Linked DNA regions of Kluyveromyces lactis. The protein of the gene in region 2 purifies or fractionates together with the protein of the main gene of each other region. This does not show direct contact. Links are inferred from orthologs where the notes say so. Each region holds a gene or a part of one and is shown on either strand. Other genes may lie near its edges. The genes, in order: COX1 and COA1.

The links.
Region 1: the proteins of COA1 (region 2) and COX1 purify together in Saccharomyces cerevisiae (affinity purification with western blotting, with the first as the bait; 4 studies listed by BioGRID). This does not show direct contact. The link is inferred for Kluyveromyces lactis from reciprocal best matches to the Saccharomyces cerevisiae genes COA1 and COX1.

The regions. Positions count from the first base shown.
Region 1 is NC_006077.1:30,616-35,249, reverse strand, and holds the start of COX1 (cytochrome c oxidase subunit 1), read left to right. Parts: upstream 1-1,516; coding exon 1,517-2,225; intron 2,226-3,765; coding exon 3,766-4,027; exon of another isoform or gene 4,028-4,028; intron 4,029-4,634. Other genes in the region: COX2 (cytochrome c oxidase subunit 2), read left to right, coding at 1-314. UniProt on the Saccharomyces cerevisiae protein: Component of the cytochrome c oxidase, the last enzyme in the mitochondrial electron transport chain which drives oxidative phosphorylation.
Region 2 is NC_006042.1:1,009,359-1,011,948, forward strand, and holds COA1 (Coa1p), read right to left. Parts: upstream 1,274-2,590; coding exon 731-1,273; downstream 1-730. Other genes in the region: AIM20 (Aim20p), read left to right, coding at 1-415; ATG44 (mitofissin), read left to right, coding at 1,553-1,561, 1,716-1,928; KLLA0_F10978g (uncharacterized protein), read right to left, coding at 2,121-2,590. UniProt on the Saccharomyces cerevisiae protein: Required for efficient assembly of cytochrome c oxidase in the mitochondrial inner membrane. Involved in a step coupling MSS51-dependent cotranslational insertion of COX1 to the addition of its heme A and copper B cofactors.

The DNA.
Region 1 (4,634 bases), on a different chromosome or scaffold from region 2:
TTCCTGAAGATTTATTAGAAGATGGTCAATTAAGATTATTAGATACTGATACTTCAGTAGTAGTACCTGTTGATACACATATTAGATTTGTTGTTACAGCAGCTGATGTTATTCATGATTTTGCTGTACCTAGTTTAGGTATTAAAATTGATGCAGCTCCTGGTAGATTAAATCAAGTATCAGCTTTAATTCAAAGAGAAGGTGTATTCTATGGACAATGTTCAGAAATTTGTGGACAATCACATTCAGCTATGCCTATTAAAATTGAAGCAGTTTCATTACCAGCATTCTTAGAATGATTAAATGAACAATAATTATATAATTTATAATTAATAAATTATATATAATAATATTCTTTCCCTGCAAACCCTACAATATTATTAGGGGTTTCCCCACGGTCACCTTCCCGACCCACAAGGAGACGGGGATTCTTACTTATTTTATATCCCGCGGATTCATGTTATGAATCCGCGGAATTATTATATTATATTATATTATATTATATTATATTTTTAAATATAATAATAATTATATATAAATAAGAGTATAAAAATAATTTATTGATCTCATGCTATACTCCCCCCCCTTCCTGTCGCACACGATTGGTGCGCAGATATTGAAGGGGGGGAGTAGGGAGTAATAAATTTAGGATAACCATTATTATAATAATTAATTATTATAATAATATTTTTCCCCCGCGGTCTCTCACCCTACGAATGTAGGGTGATGAGCCGCGGGGTAATTCTTATTTATTATATATTATAATATTAATAATAAACCCCCGCGGACTCCTTTAAAGGAGTCCGCGGGAAAAGTATTATCCGCGCCTCATCCATTATAAAGGATGAGGCGCGGATTAATATACATATATATATTTTAATATAATTATATATTATATTTATTTATAATATTATTATTTATTATATAAAATAATACTAATGAGGGGGGCTTATTTCCCACCATATGGTGGGAAATAAGCCCTACCTAATATATTTATTTATTTTTTATTATTAATATAATTAGAATAATATTTTTCTTTAAGAGGCTTATTATATATTAATAGAATAATTATTCCGACTATTCACATAATATCTATTAAATTAATTAATATAACCCCCGCGGTTCCTCCCCACCCCTTTAAGGGGGGGGTGAAACCGCGGGGAAATGTATATTTTTACCGATCTGCATAGTAAATTGGTAAATTTATATATTTTTATATATATAAATTATATATAAGTAAGATAAAACTTATTTATCCCCCGCGCTCCCTTCCCATCCCATAAAGGGATGGGAAGGAGCGCGGGGGTCAAGAATTTATCTATAATTATATAATTATAATAATAATTATATATAACTAATTAATTAATTAATAATAAAAAACATAATGTATATTACATACTAATCCCGCGGCTCCCCCCCCCCTTCAGGGGGGGAGCCGCGGGTAAATATAACTAATAATAATAGTTTATTATATTATATATTTTAAATATAATATAATAATTATAAAAATAAATTAATGATCGAAAGATGATTATATTCTACAAATGCTAAAGATATTGCTGTTTTATACTTTATCTTTGCTATTTTCTGTGGTATGGCAGGTACTGCCATGTCTTTAATCATTAGATTAGAGTTAGCCGCACCAGGTAATCAAGTTTTAAGCGGAAATCATCAATTATTTAATGTCTTAGTAGTTGGGCATGCGGTCTTAATAATTTTCTTCTTAGTAATGCCGGCATTAATTGGTGGTTTTGGTAACTATATGTTACCTTTATTAATTGGAGCATCAGATATGTCTTTTGCAAGATTAAATAATATTTCATTCTGATGTTTACCACCTGCTTTAGTATGTTTAGTAACTTCTACATTAGTAGAATCTGGTGCAGGTACTGGATGAACTGTATATCCTCCATTATCATCAATTCAAGCACATTCAGGACCTAGTGTTGATTTAGCAATTTTTGCTTTACATTTAACATCTATTTCATCATTATTAGGTGCTATTAATTTCATTGTAACAACATTAAATATGAGAACAAATGGTATGACAATGCATAGATTACCATTATTTGTATGATCTATTTTCATTACAGCATTCTTATTATTATTATCATTACCTGTATTATCAGCAGGTGTTACAATGTTATTATTAGATAGAAACTTCAATACTTCATTCTTCGAAGTAGCAGGTGGTGGTGACCCTGTTTTATACCAACATTTGTTTTCTATGCCATTTTATATAGTAATTTATGATTATAAATATAATATTAATTTATGATTATCTTCATTTAAAAATTTAGAATTTAATCAAGATAAATTTTATTTTGATGAATTTAATTTAAAATATAAAGAATTTAAACCTATAAATTCTGTTCCTGATCAAAAATTTTTAGAATGATTTGTAGGATTTTTTGAAGGTAAAGGTTCATTTATTTTAATAAAAAGAAGTGATATTTCTGTTGTTGTAACTTCTAAAGATATAAAAATTTTAAATTATATTAAAAATAATTTTAATATAGGAGATGTAATTTTACAATCTAAAAAAGATATAACATATAGATGAGTAGTACATAAAAGAAGAGATATTTATTTATTATCATTAATTTTTAATGGTAATTTAGTATTACCTACTAGATATGGTAAATTTATAATTTTTTTAGCTAAATTAAATGAAAAATTATTAAAAAATAATGAACCTATAATTATTTTAAAAAATTATTGTAAATTACCTACTTTAAATGATTATTGATTATCTGGATTTACTGATGCTGAAGGTTGTTTTGATATTTCTTTAAAAGATAATAAAAATACACCTAGATTTTTATATGCATTAAGTCAAAAACATATTGTTAATAAATATGTATTAGAACATATTTTAAATTTATTTATTGATAAATCTAATACTAATTCATTATATAACATTAATAGTGAAAAAAATATTGGTAAAGTTTATTCTAATTCTAAAGATGATAATTGACAATTATGAATTTCAGGATTAAATAATTGTATTTTTATTTTAAATTATTTTAAAGAATATCCTTTATTATCTGATAAATCTAATAGTTTAGATAAATTTATTCATGTAATAAATTATTATAAACAAAATAAACCTTTAAATGAAGAACAAAAATTATATATTAAAAAAATATCTAAACCCTGCGCGACATCACCCGACCCTCATAAAGGGTTGGGTGAGTCGCGCAGGGAATTAATTAATAAATAATCATATTTTATTAGTATAAATAAAAAATATTGAAACAAAGGAAATAGTTTAACTTAAGTTAATTAGAAAAGATATAACAATGTTGATATGAAAAATAAAAAGATTATATCTCTCTTAATATATATATATAAATTAAGAGACTAAATATTTATTATTCTCTTATTCGGACACCATCCAAGGGATTTACCTTTTTTAATACCCCCCCCATATCTTCTTCCCAGCTAAGCTGATAAGAAGATATGGGGAGAAGAGATAAATATACTATTTTCTAGTATTATATATATATTATATAATGCAACATTGGTGGTACGGTCAACAATTTCTCAGATTTAGACCGTCGGTTATAATATATATAATTATATATTCTGATCGCTACAGACTGCTTCACCAATGGGTGATATAATAATATTGCTTAATGTACAGTCGGAATCACTTATTAATAATAAGGTCATATATTATATATGAGATATATATTATAGAGTCTACCCGTGCTATTATCAAAAATAATATTTGGGGAAAAGATAATATATTATTTAGATTTGGATTCTTTGGTCACCCCGAAGTTTATATTTTAATTATTCCTGGATTCGGTATTATTTCACATATCGTATCAACTTATTCTAAAAAACCAGTATTCGGTGAAGTATCAATGGTATATGCTATGGCTTCAATTGGATTATTAGGTTTCTTAGTATGATCACATCATATGTATATTGTAGGATTAGATGCAGATACTAGAGCTTATTTCACATCGGCTACAATGATTATTGCAATTCCTACAGGTATTAAAATTTTCTCATGATTAATAAACTCCTTTAGCAAGAGTATTAAGTTGATCAAAAAATATATAAAATATATATATATTAATAATAATCATAATAATAATAATAATAATAATAATCCCCGCGGTCAGTCACCGGTTATCGGTAACATGACCGCGGGGATAAATAAGATTTATAATAATAATTCTTATAATTCTTATAATAATAATAATAATTATTATAATAAAAAATTAACAATTTATGGTACTAATTTATATTCAAATTTAATAAATAAAGAATATAATAATACTATAATAATTAAATATATAATTAAAATTCCAAATAATATTATATATATAATTAATGGAATTTTATTAACAGATGGTTGAATTGAATATAGTTCAAAAAATACATTAATTAATAGTAGATTAAAATTTAAACAAACTTTAAAACAAGTAGAATATGTTTTATATGTATATAATAAATTAAATCATTATTGTGTAAGTCCTCCAAAATTAATTAAAACACCCCGCGGCTCCTCCCCTGGTAATCCCAGGGGAGGAGTCCGCGGGGAAAGATTAAAAGGTAAAATTTATTATGGAGTTGAAATAACTACTATAGCTTTACCTTGTTTTACTAAATTAAGACAT
Region 2 (2,590 bases):
TCTACTAAAAACGATCGGAACACTCGATTTGGGTGCATATCCAAGGCGAGGTTCGTCAGTACAAATTTCCGGTATGAATAATAATAATGCCATCAACAATCATAATATTAATAACGCTGATAACTCTATCATTTCGTCGAGACATTCGTTAACATCGCTGCATACACACATGTCTTCTCCAAGTACGAATTCAAAACCTATAATAGAGAATGTATTCGACACGCCGAAAGGTTCTAAAGTGTTGACCTTACCAGCGGAAAACGATTCATCTGAACAATATAGGCTACAGAATAATTACGATATCAGAGATGATCATCACATTGCTGAAGAAGATCAGTACGAAAATGAGTTCACGAACTACTCGGAGAATAAAAGGGAATTTATCGATTCTTTGAGACCAAAAAGACAAACATAAGGCAACCGTAAAATGGTACTATCTGTCACTCCATGGAGGAAATCCATTCATCTCCTGGCTGAGAGAAATTCACATACTCGAAAAAAAAAAATCTCATTAACCATTGTTTGCCAACCGGTAGACTCATACCATATTGGAGCTGCTATTACTATCATCATTGTTATTATTATTATTACTATTTTAATCTGTGTATTTAATATTTACAAGATATAACGAAAGGAAAAGTACACAGTTAGCTTACAAGGGAGAATAAGGGCTAATGCATTATGATAAAATGATACATAAATAATGAATTCTCAGTTGAAAAATACACTTTTATAAAGTTTTAGCACCACCGCTTTCCTCTAATAGATCGTATTTCTTGTCATCAACCTTGACACTCCATTCGTGGATGAAAAATTCTTGGTGTTGGTTCTCTCTGTCTGCAACTAATCGAACTTCACCGACCTTACCCTTGGAACCCTTCAAGTAAAACTTGATATTGACATTACCAGCAACTTGATTAAGCTCCCCAGAGACCCATGGAACGAGCCCATCGAAATCTATCTGATCACCAAGAACTTCTCTAATCTTAGGCGAACGACGCATATGGTATAGGGTATTGGAAATAACCGGAGACTGTGTCTTCTCATAGTTAAAAATCATAGCCAATGCTGAGGTCATTAGAACAATGAACCCAACAAACTGGAGTCTTCTCTTGTTGACATCTTTAGTTGGGTCTGGTAGCTCTCTATCGATTCTCATTGGTCTAAACTTGTCTTTTAATATAATCTCTGGTTCTTGAGAGGCCAAAAACCTCCTTGTAAGTATTCTGCTCACAGAAATTCCGGATCTTGGTGCAAGGATGCGTCTAAACATTGTTAATATGGAGTTTCTAGCCTGTGCTGGTGTTGGCGGATTGTGTAGCAATGTCCCTTCCCTGTTTCCTAATCATCGTATGTTGTACTGGCCAGCTTCTTCGACTAAATTTTTCAAATACTCGGATCTTCTTATAATATCATTTCATAGTAGAAATCAAACAATGAATCGAGAAAAAGGTATGAAACTTGAGTCAAATCAGCAAACAGGAAATCATCTGTGGCCAAAAGAATATACAAAGACGAGGTGTCTTCAAATAAACCACGTTTATTCCCTAAAATGACCTTTGTATGTTATGCTATGAAGCCTAGTTTGGGTTGTCAATCGTATTGCTACGATTATATGTCTAAAAGATACTAACATCTATGCTATGAAATGCGCTCATTCCTTCCGAAGAGGAAGAAGGAAAGAGTGTGAATTGGATGAGCAAGACTAATTTAAGATCGGTAAAACTGTACATTTGGCTATTGATGCTGTTTTAATTTCTACCTGCTTGGCAGGTATTAAGAGAAATACTGGATTGACCCCTAAGATTGATCACATTAGCGATATTACCGTTAGGGAATATTCCACGAAATATTTGAACTTGGGAGAGTCAGTATATGATTATACAGTGGCAACTCTAGGATCTTCATCATATTTCCAGAGGAAATGAGATACAAAAGACGAAGTTCCCCTTTAATAACTTAATTTGTTTTTTTTGTGTGATCTTTTCGCTATAACGGGTTAGCTATGAATGAAACAGATGTGATTGTAAGTCCTTAACATATATTTATAGTTAGTATATTCATTATATATTTAAGTGGTTTTGAAAATTAAAGTTCGGTGTAATGATACATTGCTGGTTTCAGCTTGGATTGATGGCGAATTCAGCTACAACTTCTTCGGTTGATTGCTTGTCGTCCATTTGCTTCTGCTCGCAAAATTTAAAGATGGCATCGTAGCCAGTTGGTGTATCAGCAGCATTTTCTGTATTTTGAAAGAGATCATTTATGTGTGAAATACTAGGAGACTTCCGTTCTGAGCTTTTTCCATCACTGCCAATGTTACCTCCCAGTGAGCGTAGATTCTCCCAGAAATCATTACCATCTTCTTCCATAATTGATATTGAGGACACGGTGCTTGGGGTTACTTTATTCTTGGGTCCATTGCGATCAAAATCTTCAGCTGGTGTATTTCCTGTCGATCCTGCAGCACTAGAGTTTCTGGATTCATTTTTACCTCTTCTCTTTGTTTGTTTCCTCTTATGTCCATGAAGTCCATTCGGACTTGGATTTAACAATCGGCTTAATTCAACTGTCTTGGCGTTTTCACTGG